Saccharomyces cerevisiae S288C: one gene and its partners. The protein of the gene in region 1 interacts with the protein of each later gene in a biochemical or structural test. Each region holds a gene or a part of one and is shown on either strand. Other genes may lie near its edges.

Region 1 (5,871 bases):
GCATTGGAGAGAATAGAGGTTGGAGTCGAAAAAGAAGAAGCAGAAGCCTCGCCATCTTTTGGTACTTTTGTATTTATGTCTTTCAAGTTTCTTCCTTGATTTGCACCCTCCGCTGCGATGTGTACAGACGTTGCTTTCTTTTCGCTGGACTGTCTGGCCACCTGGTTAGGTGGAGTTTGCTCCACATCCGACCTGAGACTACCCAACTTTGGATCGCTGAATGTAACAGTTGGTATCCTTTTTAACCCTGGCTCTGGTGTATTACTTACAACTGCCCCAGAAGTTCCGCTAGCATTCATGATTGACTTAGTTTGTGAACCAGTGGGACTAGTTGATTTCCTTACTACAGGAGTGTCCAGACTAGAAACGGAAGAAAATGGTCCCGTAGAATTTGTGTCAGGCATTGCCGATGAACCTATATTGGCCTGCTCAGCTCCAGAGAGAGTATTCGAAGCAACCCCTTTCCTATTGTTCTTCAGGCTAGATTTGTTTGTCATTGCGTCTCTGCACTATAATTATGGCCAGTATTCCTCTTTCTGGTCTCTTCTTTGAACTAAAGTAATCTTATAAAAGGCTATCCTTTTTTTGGCAATCTAGTATTAATCCTGATCAAAAAGTCCTCAAAACGAGCCCTCTTCAAAGTGCTGTAACACCATTCATCTCATAAGGGGAGGGCATACTGAGCAATAAAACGTTTTCTTACCTTTTCGGTCTTTTGGACTCTCCAACCAGAAAGTTAAAGGGCAAAAAAGCTCACATGACACGCTTGTTTTGGAAAACGTCATAGAAAAACCACGTGAAAAAAAAAAAAAAAAAAAAAAAAAAAAGAAAAAGAAAAAGGGCAGCTGCCAACTAGTACACACTACACAGATATTTATGAAAAACACTAACTTCTCCTTTTGGAACTGTTGACGTACCTTCCCTTACCAATGCGGACGTTATGCTGCTTCAACCCAGTAATTGCAAATGGAGAAATATAGTTATCCGCAGAACCGCCACCAATCCAATTGTTTAGAATCTTCTCGTTGTGTCTTCTTGTCCATTCTTCTTGCTTTATCACCTTTTCGTACTCCTTTTGATCTTCTCTGAGAATCACATTTTCCTGTGGTTTAGAATGTACGTGTCCCTTTTTGCCGTACCTTTTTTGGGAGTTCTTAGATAAGGGGCTGGCTACAGAATATCTGTTTCCTCTATTGTTCCATTGGAAGTTCGACTTCAAGTGCGGTGTAACGTTCCCCGTGCGTGAGTCAACGGAAACTGCGCATCTTAATAAGGTACCCTGTCCACCGCATGAGGCACAGAAGTGCTTTGGCTTGCCGTCTTTTGGTAGAGGAAATATTTTGAAACAGGCGTGGCATCTTAGCATATAATTACGGATTCGCTTGATTTTCAGACCTGACATGAAATTCATTAGATTTAGATTCATCTGCAACGCTACATTTTGGACGGCAAAATCGCCAGTCGCCAATGCCACCTGATTCTCTGGTCGATTCAATGCGACATGGCGATCCTCTTCGGACGCTTCTACACCCAATGAACCAGTGGTATCTTCACCACTATCCTTAATAATTGCTTCTGTTAAGTTCTCGGGGGTAATCCAATCACCATCATCATCAGCATCCTCGAATACTTCATTTAAATCGGAAGATTCCTTTATATTTTCATCATTACATATCTGCTCTTTGGATCCAGCCTCCTCAACATGTTCCTCAGCTTTACTCTCTAGCTCAAGGTTTGCATTTTCAGCTTCTCTTGCTTCTCTTGCTTCTCTTTTTGCCTTTTGCTTTTTTCCACCTCTTCTCTTGTTCTTTTTTTTTGGAACACTTTCAGAGTCCTCCTCCTTTTTATTATCTTCTGTGAGCTTCTGTTTGCCGTCCGTACCAACGTCAGCCTTGGACGCATCTAATGCATCACCTGGTTTTTTCCTCAGTCTCCAATCGCCATTATTTAGTTTAATTTCTAACTCGTATGTCAAAGCAAGAATATGCAAATCATTGGCACTCAGTACGGAGTAGTCACCGGTCAATTTGGCGAACGTACTTACTTTGGCTATCGAGTTTTCACTTGGATGTACTAATTTCAAAGTTCCGAGGCTCTGCCAAATTTCAAGGTTTTTCCTTGCTTGAGCATCCTTAATTTCTTGAAAAACTGTGGGAGTAGTATAAAAAGACTGTGCATAATTCTGGTAATGTGTGTAGGACTGCGTAATTAATGGGGTGGCATCCAATATCAACGCCCTTACATGTGCGGTTTGGTTTTCGGTCATATTATGCTCCTTTAAAGAAACTTTAGAAAAATACTGAACTATGATCGCCGATGAGATTTATCTAGCGCTGACTGAACGACCTCTATGTTAAGAACATACTTGAGATAATGGTGCTGTTTCTCCATGTAGACTTCTTCTTAGCAGGTAAAAATTTGCCAATGCAAAACAAAGCTCATCGAAAAATTTTGATCTTGCATTATGGAATGTCCGGGTTTTTCTATTGAGACATTCAAATTTTGAATTCTTCTTCAATAGAACCAGGCTCAGCACAGATACAAGAGAAATGATAGTAGATAATACCGCCATAGTGCTTATGCATCATCTGCTAATTCTTTTAAGAATGATCTTCTCAGTCTTACACTGACGAGCACTATATTGATGACTTTGATCACTATAAACGAAGCCAATATAAGCACTTTAGGGTGTAAGGTCTCAAGATGAGTTGATCATATGCGATATATCTTTGAACGCTAATAATTGAACGAAAGCACTATGACAAAGTAATGGCAGAAGTCTTTTAAGGTTAAAGAGGTAGTTGTTTTAAGGAAACGAAAAAGAAATGCCTGTTGAAAAAGATTTAAAAACTGCCTACAAAGCTTTGTATGATGAGAAGGAACCACTGAAGGCCCTCCATCTTTATGATGAAATTCTCAAAGGCTCACCCACAAATTTAACGGCTCTCATTTTTAAGGCAGCATGTCTTGAAAAGCTATACTTTGGGTTTTCTGATTGGCACAGCGATGCAACTATGGAAAACGCAAAGGAACTTCTTGACAAGGCTCTAATGACAGCTGAGGGTAGGGGCGATAGATCGAAGATTGGTCTTGTTAACTTTCGTTATTTTGTTCATTTCTTCAATATCAAAGATTATGAACTGGCCCAATCTTATTTTAAAAAAGCCAAGAATCTTGGTTACGTTGATGACACTTTGCCTTTATGGGAAGATCGTCTGGAGACAAAATTGAATAAAAAAAATAAAAAGCAGAAGGATTCAACTAATAAGCATACAATTAAACCAGTGGAAAGTATTGAAAACAGAGGAGATAATAATTCTTCTCATAGTCCCATTTCACCTCTCAAAATTGAAACCGCTCCTCAAGAATCCCCTAAATTTAAAATCGATTGGTATCAATCCAGCACCTCTGTCACTATATCATTATTTACTGTTAATCTTCCTGAGTCTAAGGAACAAGTCAATATATATATTTCTCCAAACGATAGAAGAACTTTATCGATATCGTACCAAGTACCGAAATCTGGATCTGAATTTCAATACAACGCTAAGCTTTCGCATGAGGTGGATCCAAAAGCAGTGTCATTAAAAATTTTCCCAAAAAAGCTGGAAATTACCTTGAGCAAAATTGATAGCACGCAATGGAAGAAGTTGGAAGAAGATATTTTAACGGAATCCTCAAGGTTATCAGATGAGGGTAAAAATTCTGATTCTGCAACCCGCTTATTATCAGCAGAAACGGCATCAAAAGAGAGATTGTCTTATCCATCGTCCTCTAAAAAAAAAATAGATTGGTCTAAACTTGACATTGATGAAGAAGCTGATGAAGAAGCGGGATCGGCTGATAGTTTCTTTCAAAAGCTTTACGCTGGAGCGGATCCAGATACCAAAAGGGCTATGATGAAATCCTTTATAGAAAGTAATGGTACTGCATTGAGTACAGACTGGGAAGACGTATCTAAGGGAACGGTTAAAACTTCACCACCAGAAGGCATGGAACCTAAACATTGGTAAATGATTAGTATATACCTACACAATTACAATATGTAGATATATAGTATGGTAGTAATGTTACATTTTCGATTTAGACTAGCCAACCTGCGTATTTACTTGGAATGCTTACATGATTATATTGAATATTACAAATTTTATTATGTCCATATTAATCCAGAGTCACGGTGCAATGGAAAAAGGAAAGGGAGAATGATAGAATAAAAGAAGGAAAGAAAGAGACAATGTAGCGAAGGCTAGAAAGTGATGTGAAAAAAAAAACCACAAAAAAAATAAATAAGAGATCAGAGGGTTAAATGAATGCGCTTTTAAGAAATTCAAATATCTGTAAAGGAGAATCCATTCAATTTCGAAACTTGCTCATTTTTCCATGTAATAAAATCCTTATCATTTTCATCTTCCATCATACTGGTATCATCAAATCCGCTTTCAATATCTTTTTGTTGAATGTTTAATTGAAATTTACCTTCTGGCGACATGGAAAGTTTATATATGCTGTGCTCAGGTTCTTTATAAGGACTGCTCAATTTTTGTGCGTAATCTTCTAATGAGCTTTTGCGTTCCGGGCTTCGTACATTCTCCTTACCCGTGGTGCCAGTCGACCTTTTAAGAAGTTCTAAAGCCTTTTCTTTAGTTAATTGAGGGATATGACTACCCTTAGTGTCGACTTTGTTCAGCGGGATAGGAAACAATTGGCGTGGTTTTACTGCATGTTCGCCATGCGTATGATTTATCCTAGGCGATGATGAAAGATCGGATGATCTGTTTCTGTTTAAGGTAGGTCTCTCTATATTCCCTTTGGAATTCCTAGATATTACTGTGGGTGCTAGTAATCTTGTTGCTCTTCTGTTCGGACTAGATAACTTCGTTGTTCCTTGCATATGACGAGCAAGCGAGTTCTCTTGGGATAGATCATTCTTTGTTAAGCCTTGTATTGTTTTCTTTGAAGGCGTTTTATAAGTAATGTTGGCATCATTTAAATTCAAACCAATCGGTACCCTGATGGAACTTTCTGTGGCCTTGAAAGTGTTTTTTATGACTTTATTCTCTTTGTTCGCACCACATTTTCCCTTTTTAGATCTCTGCATTCTAACTCTACATCTTGGATATTTTGCTTCGATTTCCTGTTGCTGAATGTCAATTGCTTCTGAAAGTGGCTTACCTTTGAACAAAAAAGGTTGATCAAATAGACCATCGGCCTCTTCTAATTTAATTCTTAAATCATTGATGACTCGAGGAAAGTGTCTTGTTATCCTTTTCCTCATTTTTTCTTCAGTTAGTAATATCTTATGAGAATTTCTAGACAAAAGCCGTGAAGAGTCTTTTGAACTTCTTTCCAAAAATTCTTGATCTTCTTGTAAAGATTCAAAATCTGATATTAATTTTAAAATTGGCTTATAAAGGGTCAGTTTTTCTTCTAGTCTTTTTAGCTCATTTTCGCAAGTTTCTAGAAGAAGCTCATCTTCCTGTAAAGTTGTTGCACTGTTCCTTAGTTCTTCAAATACAATGATGAATTTAGACCGACTTTCTTCTGAATACTGTAACGTACGCCACAATTCCTGAATTTTGTCCCAGGAATCTGATATAAGTTTTTTTATTAGTTTTTTTTTCATTGCTTCAAGTCGCATAACTTCTTTAGAGATTCTACCTAAGGACTCGGTTGATAAACTTGAATTGTTACGCATAAAAGTCTTTATGTATTCTTGAGAAATTTTTAGCCTTGTCCAAAGTTTTTGGCATTGTTCCATCAGGAGCCTCTTTTTGTCTGCTCTTTCCTTATGGATAGCTTGCAGTTTTTCCAATGTAATATCAATTTTAGACATTCTTTCTCTGTCTACCGGGTGGAAATTTGGTATTTCTG
Region 2 (5,406 bases), on another chromosome or scaffold:
CAAGATTGTTAATAAACCTAAGGACGTTCTTATTGTTATTGATCAATTGATAGATGTTGTTCAGGAAAAAGATGAAACAATACAGGAAGTAGAAGCAGATTCTGACGACGAAGTTGAAGAAGGAGAAGAAACAGAAGAATTGGATCCAAATGAAAATTCTTCCTACAAAATTATCTTGCAGTTATTATCAACCGTCCTTTCAGAATCGTCCAGTAGTATATTATTGCAAAACAGTTATATATTGAAATCCATTTCTAGAAAATTACAATCTTTCAACACTAATGCTTCCGAAATAGATGCATTATTGGCATCAATAGATAATATATTGATTAACGGACATACTACGGAAAGGAACGACAACATAGAAATTGAGATGGATGAGGAAAGGCTTGACAAAGCGATAACTAGTCTACATGATCCTTTAGTGCCCATAAAATCTTATGGTTTAACAGAACTACGTCATCTAGCTGAAAAGAAGTCTCCAGTAATTTCACTGGAAAAGGTGTTGCAAATACATTTAGATTATTTAAAGAATATGGACCCTTTCATTTATCTCAACGTTATTAAAGGACTTACAACGCTATGTGAATTAGAGCCAGAAACCATATTGCCTCTACTTGCAGAATTTTATGCTAACAAAAAAAAGAAAAACAGATTAGATGATGTGCTGAAAGTTGGAGAAGTGTTCATCAATTACATTCAACGTCAGAACGAATTGTTCCAGGGTAAATTGGCTTATCTGATTATAGATACCTGTCTTAGTATTGTGAGGCCAAATGATAGTAAACCATTGGACAATAGATGGCGTATGTCATCCATGTCAATCTTAGGTATGTGCCTTCAAATCAACGCCAGGGGTGTCTCGGATAGAATTCGCGATATGCTGGATTGTGTATTTGGAATATTGCAATTAGAACAACCACAAAATCATTTGAAGGACAAGGATGATTCTTTTTTGATGAGAAGAAGTGCCGTACACTTGATACATGATTTGTTGTACAGTACAGGATTTGATTTACTTCCCTTTGAGTACAACTACGATAAGCTAAAAACACTATTATCTTACGTTCGTGATCAAGATGAAGATTACATGGTTTGTGAACAGATTGACAAGCTTTTAACCGTACTAGATAGTTTATAACCCATTACGCATTTGATTATAATTTGCTTCTTAGGCAAAATTAATATTTACGTTCTTTTATATTCTTTCTTTTTGTATTCATAGAACAGCAGCCATTACCAATAGAAAGTTAAAATAGCCGCCGATGCATTTTATTACCCGCCTTTCTGTTTTCTGGGCACTTTTCTTTCTAGAAGGTGAAAGAACAATTTTTCTCGTTTTCTCGAACTTCCACCAAGCGTTGGGTAATGAGGGAGGAGATTTGTATAAAAAGAGTGGCATGTGAACTGCCTACCGTAAGTGACATGAACACATGCATTATATTTTTTGTGATATATTCTTTCTCTTGTTTTCTTTTTCTTGAAACGCTACAGAACCAATAGAAAAATAGAATCATTCTGAAATATGGCTGGTGAAACTTTTGAATTTCAAGCTGAAATCACTCAGTTGATGAGTTTGATCATCAACACTGTCTATTCTAACAAGGAAATTTTCTTGAGAGAACTGATCTCTAACGCCTCCGATGCTTTAGACAAAATTAGATACCAAGCTTTGTCTGATCCAAAGCAATTGGAAACCGAACCAGATTTGTTCATTAGAATCACCCCAAAACCAGAAGAAAAAGTTTTGGAAATCAGAGATTCTGGTATTGGTATGACCAAGGCTGAATTGATTAACAATTTGGGTACCATTGCTAAGTCTGGTACTAAAGCTTTCATGGAAGCTCTATCTGCTGGTGCCGATGTATCCATGATTGGTCAATTCGGTGTTGGTTTTTACTCTTTATTCTTAGTCGCCGACAGAGTTCAAGTTATTTCCAAGAACAATGAGGACGAACAATATATTTGGGAATCTAATGCCGGTGGTTCTTTCACCGTTACTTTGGACGAAGTTAACGAAAGAATTGGTAGAGGTACCGTCTTGAGATTATTCTTGAAAGATGACCAATTGGAGTACTTGGAAGAAAAGAGAATTAAAGAAGTCATCAAGAGACATTCTGAATTCGTTGCTTACCCTATCCAACTTCTAGTCACCAAGGAAGTCGAAAAGGAAGTTCCAATTCCAGAAGAAGAAAAGAAAGACGAGGAAAAGAAGGATGAAGATGACAAGAAACCAAAATTGGAAGAAGTCGATGAAGAAGAAGAAGAAAAGAAGCCAAAAACCAAAAAAGTTAAAGAAGAGGTTCAAGAATTAGAAGAGTTGAACAAGACTAAGCCATTATGGACTAGAAACCCATCTGATATCACTCAAGAGGAATACAATGCTTTCTATAAGTCTATTTCTAACGACTGGGAAGACCCATTGTACGTTAAGCATTTCTCTGTTGAAGGTCAATTGGAATTTAGAGCTATCTTGTTCATTCCAAAGAGAGCACCATTCGACTTATTTGAGAGTAAGAAGAAGAAGAACAATATCAAGTTGTACGTTCGTCGTGTCTTCATCACTGATGAAGCTGAAGACTTGATTCCAGAGTGGTTATCTTTCGTCAAGGGTGTTGTTGACTCTGAAGATTTACCATTGAATTTGTCCAGAGAAATGTTACAACAAAATAAGATTATGAAGGTTATTAGAAAGAATATTGTCAAGAAATTGATTGAAGCCTTCAACGAAATCGCTGAAGACTCCGAGCAATTTGACAAATTTTACTCTGCCTTCGCTAAGAACATTAAGCTGGGTGTACATGAGGACACTCAAAACAGAGCTGCTTTAGCTAAGTTGCTACGTTACAATTCTACTAAATCTGTCGATGAATTGACTTCCTTGACTGATTACGTTACTAGAATGCCAGAACACCAAAAGAACATCTATTACATCACCGGTGAATCTCTAAAGGCAGTCGAAAAGTCTCCATTCTTGGACGCCTTGAAGGCTAAGAACTTTGAAGTTTTGTTCTTGACCGACCCAATTGATGAATACGCTTTCACTCAATTGAAGGAATTCGAGGGTAAAACTTTGGTTGACATTACTAAAGATTTCGAATTGGAAGAAACAGACGAAGAAAAAGCTGAAAGAGAGAAGGAGATCAAAGAATACGAACCATTGACCAAGGCCTTGAAGGATATCTTGGGTGACCAAGTGGAGAAGGTTGTTGTTTCTTACAAATTGCTAGATGCTCCAGCTGCCATCAGAACTGGTCAATTCGGCTGGTCTGCTAACATGGAAAGAATCATGAAGGCTCAAGCCTTGAGAGACTCTTCCATGTCCTCCTACATGTCTTCCAAGAAGACTTTCGAAATTTCTCCAAAATCTCCAATTATTAAGGAATTGAAAAAGAGAGTTGATGAGGGTGGTGCACAAGATAAGACCGTCAAAGATTTGACTAACTTATTATTCGAGACCGCTTTGTTGACTTCTGGTTTCAGTTTGGAAGAACCAACTTCTTTTGCATCAAGAATAAATAGATTGATTTCTTTAGGTTTGAACATTGATGAGGATGAAGAAACAGAAACCGCTCCAGAAGCTTCTACCGAAGCTCCAGTTGAAGAGGTTCCAGCTGACACCGAGATGGAAGAAGTTGATTAATCTCTTTTTTCGCCTTCATGTTTTATATATTATATAAATTTGTTTACTTATTTTTACTATTTGTAATAATGATTCTGCTTTACGCGCCTTTAAAAAAGTTGGTCTTAATGTAAACATGAACCATAGCACACAATTTAAGACATCAGCTGTCAAATGACCATAAAATTGTCCTACCAGCTGTCCTTAAAGTTTAGTGTACACTTACGAATGACTTATTTACTCACCTTTGCAACTTTGTTCAATAAATTCATTGATCTTTTCAAGTTCCTGACATCTTTTGTAACTGGCATAGAGCTTCAGACTTGACCAGCCTATAGCAGCAGTACCACAACCTATAATATTGAAAATCATTCTAAATTCCGAAGGGGAGCAATTCGGCGTCCATTCAATTTTAAACTTTCTCTGTATCCATAGAAAAGCATTCAATAGAAGACCTCCTGTACATTTACCAACAAAGGGCCATAGTATCTTTTCTGCAAGAATAGCATACCAATTCCGCCTGATAAAAAATTCCTCAGCTGGAACGCTATTACTAGAGTTTTCAAAATTTCCGTGATACAAATACTTACCTCCTTTATTGATCAGCCTCCTGTAAATTAAGTCAACCAATCTTTTAAAGGTAAAATTATAGCAAAATGTAGCCAAGTTAGAATACAAAATTATTTTAGGTAAACCTATACCCTTGTAATATTTGTTTCCAGCAGTTTTTACAATACTGAGATACACCCACTTAAAGAGTATTGCATTAGCACTGACGTTAGAAATGTTGCTAAGATAATGTATGAACCCATATATTATGATCGAGGAGGTTAAAGGAATGCTTAATAAGCCACGTTCAGTTTGCGCATATACGTCCAATGCCTTTGTAGTGCTGATGTTTAACATATTTCGTAGAACATTCTCAGGGAAAAGGCAGCGTAGTTGCCATAATCCAATGTCAAAACTTGTCTTTTCAGGGTTTAAAAGAAATAAACTAGTTATCCCTAATGGTATCACGTATCGTGTAATTTTTTGCCACTGATAAAACAGGGATAGTACAGAAGACTGGATGGTTACTGTAGGTCTTTTTATGAAATTTGTTTTCTTGCATTGAGGACATTCGCCAAATTTCACTAACACATAAGGTGGATGATTATCCCGTTTGGTATAAAGAGACATTAGATTGAACACGTAGTCATTTTGAAACGGTACTGATTTTTGCCCCCAAATGGGACGAGTTTCCCATATTTCTGTAAGAGAGAAAGTCGTCATAAAATCATGGTGCCCATCAACGAGACATTTTAAACAGGTGATTATAGGTAAATCAGCATCCTTTGGTAGGTCCACTGTGTTCGGAAGAAAAAGTTCAACATGCATTTGATAGAGCCATCTTATATAGCAGCGTTTATGAATTTGTAAGTTGCAACCGCACGTGTGCTGTAGCCATGTAGAGTCATATGTGGATTCTTCCAAACATATCCAGCATATGCATCTTTTTTTTATGAGAGATAAAAAAAAATGAGGTGGGGTCATATAAAACTTGGACTATTTCCTTGGAATTTTCTTGTTTGTAAAATCAGAGCAGAGCTCTTTTATTTACTTTTGTTTTTGACGATGGGGACGAGCGATGTACTCACATCTTCGATATCACTTGCCTGAAAATATATAAATGCGTTAAACGATAGAAAATCAAAAACATCGTTCTTTTCACTAGAATATTTTAAAGTCAAAACATAACACTTTACTATTTACGTAACGAAGTCTTGTAGTTGTATATATTTACA
Region 3 (4,032 bases), on another chromosome or scaffold:
TAAGGGCGTTATTCGACTTATATGAGCATGGGGTATATTATTGAGGTAGTTAATACTAGTCATCGTAAAAGCAGAAGCACGAAACAAGGAGGCAAACCACTAAAAGGATGGCCCCAAATCAAAGATCACGTTCGCTTCTGCAGAGACATCGAGGAAAGGTACTCATTTCATTGACTGGAATAGCTGCTTTATTTACCACAGGGTCGGTGGTAGTGTTTTTCGTGAAGAGATGGTTGTATAAACAGCAGTTACGGATTACTGAGCAACACTTCATCAAAGAACAGATCAAAAGAAGGTTCGAGCAGACACAGGAAGACTCGTTGTACACAATATACGAGCTACTTCCTGTATGGAGAATGGTTTTGAATGAAAACGATTTGAATTTGGACAGCATCGTTACCCAATTAAAGGACCAAAAGAACCAGTTGACTAGAGCAAAGTCTAGTGAAAGCAGAGAAAGTTCGCCGTTAAAAAGTAAAGCTGAGTTGTGGAACGAGTTAGAACTAAAGAGTTTGATCAAGCTGGTGACAGTGACGTACACAGTATCGTCGCTGATTCTTTTAACAAGACTGCAACTAAATATCCTGACAAGAAACGAGTACCTGGACTCCGCAATAAAATTAACCATGCAGCAGGAAAACTGCAACAAACTACAGAATAGGTTCTATAACTGGGTTACATCGTGGTGGAGCGATCCGGAGGACAAAGCGGATGATGCAATGGTAATGGCAGCAAAAAAGTCAAAGAAAGAAGGCCAGGAAGTGTATATTAATGAGCAAGCTTTCCTATCACTATCATGGTGGATTCTTAACAAGGGGTGGTTGAGTTACAATGAAATAATTACAAATCAAATCGAAATTGAATTTGACGGCATACACCCAAGAGATACTCTAACGTTAGAAGAATTTAGTTCTCGTCTCACGAACATATTCCGGAACACGAATTCCCAAATATTCCAGCAAAATAATAATAACCTCACGTCTATTTTGCTTCCTAAAGATTCCAGTGGACAGGAGTTTCTTCTGTCACAGACGCTTGACGCGGATGCTTTAACAAGTTTTCACTCTAACACACTAGTTTTTAATCAATTGGTGAATGAACTGACCCAATGTATCGAAAGCACAGCAACATCCATAGTGTTAGAGTCTCTAATAAATGAATCATTCCATTTCATAATGAACAAGGTCGGCATAAAGACAATAGCCAAGAAAAAACCTGGCCAAGAAGATCAGCAACAGTATCAAATGGCAGTTTTCGCTATGTCGATGAAAGACTGTTGCCAAGAAATGCTTCAAACAACTGCCGGGTCTTCCCATAGCGGCAGCGTGAACGAATACCTGGCCACTCTGGATTCTGTGCAGCCGCTCGATGATCTGAGCGCCAGCGTATACAGCAACTTTGGCGTCTCCAGCTCGTTTTCCTTCAAGCCTTAATCTCTGAATAAGTACTGACACTCACACCAGAATATATATATATATAGCGTAATCTTTAATACAGTAAGTGTGCAATAGGTAACATGACATTACCCTGCAGCGATTTAACGGGCGTCTTGGAGAAAAGAAGAGAAAGGGAAGAAATAGGTTGATATATTGAGGGCAGAGAAAGTGATAGCCCAACGTTGGCAAAGATATAACAGAAAAGACGTTATAAACAATACAGGAATACTAACAAACGTAGCGCAGATATGGTGACTTCTAATGTTGTCCTAGTGAGTGGTGAGGGTGAACGATTCACCGTAGACAAGAAAATCGCGGAGAGATCCCTGCTATTGAAAAACTATCTGAACGATATGCATGACAGCAACCTACAAAACAACTCAGATTCAGAATCAGATTCAGACTCGGAAACGAACCACAAAAGCAAAGACAACAATAACGGTGACGACGACGATGAGGATGACGACGAGATTGTGATGCCCGTGCCCAATGTTCGGTCTTCCGTTTTGCAGAAGGTTATCGAATGGGCCGAGCACCACAGAGACTCTAACTTCCCTGACGAAGATGACGACGATTCCAGAAAGAGTGCTCCCGTGGACTCATGGGACAGAGAATTCCTGAAAGTGGACCAAGAGATGCTATACGAAATTATTCTGGCGGCAAACTACCTCAACATCAAGCCCTTGCTTGACGCTGGCTGCAAGGTGGTTGCTGAAATGATCAGGGGAAGGTCTCCCGAGGAAATTAGAAGAACGTTTAATATCGTCAACGACTTCACTCCAGAGGAGGAGGCTGCCATTAGGCGTGAAAATGAATGGGCTGAAGACCGTTAGCCTACATTTCCTCTGATGACTGTGATCCTTTCTTCCGATGATAATGCGCCATTTCAGAGCAAGATAGGCAAAAATAAGCAAACAAGGCTTGCTGTCATGCAATGTGTACGTTAGTCCACCATAACCAAGCATGTATGAATTATATATGTATACAGTTTACATAAACTTCAAACTACAATAAGATGTGTGGTCCATCGTCGTGTGTAGCGATAGGCGTCTTCTAAAAGCCGCAAAAGTGACAAGAAGAAAAAAGGAAAATTATTGAGTTATAAAAGCTATTGTTTACATGATGAGACGGGATAAATTTAGGACAGATAGCTGTAAACACTCCGTTTTGAATCATATTTGTGAAATATTTGGTCTAAATTTTAAGTCAAGTTTATTTTCTTCGAGCATTTCAACACCAGCTTAACCCTTTGCTTTAAATTATTCATCTAAAATAGGGTATATTGATTGCTAATCACATATAAATATATAGAAGCAGCAGCTGTACAGATATCCCTAACCAATGAGGGATGAAGCTACTCGCAAAAAAAGGTCATTTAGTGATGGTCATTTTTTCAAGAAACTGAAATTGATGTCAAGGAAAAAGCAACCTGTTATGGAAAGAAGTAAGACCACTCGTACAAGGAAGGAATCTACCAATTCCGCAGCAAAATCATCCCTATCATTAAGAAGGGCCAACAATGGCAGAAAGACCATCGCTAAGAGAAGAGTACTGACCGACATAGGCTCTACTAATGAAGGTGTTGCCGGTAACTCTGGTTCAAACTCTCCTGCTCAATATTCTCATACTCCTCATTTTAGTGATTCTATCCCACCACTGCCTTTAGAGCTACCAGATATCGTCTCAATAAGGAGTAGTAGAAGTCATATTAGTAATAAGAGTAATAAGAACAAACATGGTATAGACTTGACTTTCATACCTCGAAGATCGCTACAAAATTCTAAGGCTGGCTTGAAGAAACCGAATACTTCTCCACAAGGTTATTTTAATATTCCAGTGACTATAGATAGAGCAAGTGAGAAAGTCAAACATACTGATACTAAAAATACATTCAATTCTTCGTCTTCTGAGAATGAACGACCAGTTTTGAGCATCTTACAGAAGGATGACTCTCAAAGTTCTTCGCACCCAGCTATCGATTCAATGTCAGCACCCAATAATATTAACAACAATAACGACATTGAGAATTCTTCAAACAGTCTATTTGATACTATTCTATCAATTGCTCATAGTGCCATATCTCATGTCCCTAAAATTTCAGCCTTAAATACTGAGATACAACGTGAATTTTCGCATTCAGGTGAAAGTCATACAGGTTCAACTCGCCATCCTTATTTCCATATCCACCACGCGCAGCAGCAACATCCCTTGTCACAGCAACAAGGGCCCTTACCTGTTTCCGAAAATGCTAACCAAAATCCCAATGACACAGTGCTCATTCATTCCCCCTCCGCTAACACAGCCCACCGCAGTTCATCATTTTTGCGTCATTTAGATTATTTACTATCCCCCACTTCTGGTCCAGCCTCTGATAAACATACTCAAGTAGAGGAAGGGGATGACGAGGAAGAGTTATCGCCTCTTTCCAAAGCATTTCTTTCACCATCAACTCAACTGGTACCTACAAATACATCGACTACGCCCCTTTCAGGTTCTTTGACACCTAACAATAGAAACGTAAATGCAAACTCTAACTCTGAAACCGAGAACGACAATGATAGGGATGATAGATCAAATGTTGGCAAAGTGAAATTTC

Evidence for each region.
Region 2: the proteins of SGT1 (region 1) and HSC82 form a complex in vitro, tested with the Saccharomyces cerevisiae proteins (2 studies listed by BioGRID).
Region 3: the proteins of SGT1 (region 1) and SKP1 form a complex in vitro, tested with the Saccharomyces cerevisiae proteins (6 studies listed by BioGRID, with this or other methods).

Annotation. Positions count from the first base shown.
Region 1 is NC_001147.6:429,361-435,231, forward strand, and holds SGT1 (co-chaperone SGT1), read left to right. Parts: upstream 1-2,825; coding exon 2,826-4,013; downstream 4,014-5,871. Other genes in the region: phosphopantothenoylcysteine decarboxylase complex subunit VHS3, read right to left, coding at 1-497; NOB1 (rRNA-binding endoribonuclease), read right to left, coding at 887-2,266; ASE1 (Ase1p), read right to left, coding at 4,328-5,871. UniProt on the Saccharomyces cerevisiae protein: Involved in ubiquitination and subsequent proteasomal degradation of target proteins. Required for both entry into S phase and kinetochore function.
Region 2 is NC_001145.3:630,830-636,235, forward strand, and holds HSC82 (Hsp90 family chaperone HSC82), read left to right. Parts: upstream 1-1,525; coding exon 1,526-3,643; downstream 3,644-5,406. Other genes in the region: RTP1 (Rtp1p), read left to right, coding at 1-1,141; YMR187C (uncharacterized protein), read right to left, coding at 3,860-5,155. UniProt on the Saccharomyces cerevisiae protein: Molecular chaperone that promotes the maturation, structural maintenance and proper regulation of specific target proteins involved in cell cycle control and signal transduction such as CNA2. Undergoes a functional cycle that is linked to its ATPase activity.
Region 3 is NC_001136.10:1,123,671-1,127,702, reverse strand, and holds SKP1 (SCF ubiquitin ligase subunit SKP1), read left to right. Parts: upstream 1-1,684; coding exon 1,685-2,269; downstream 2,270-4,032. Other genes in the region: PEX3 (Pex3p), read left to right, coding at 108-1,433; YSP2 (Ysp2p), read left to right, coding at 2,778-4,032.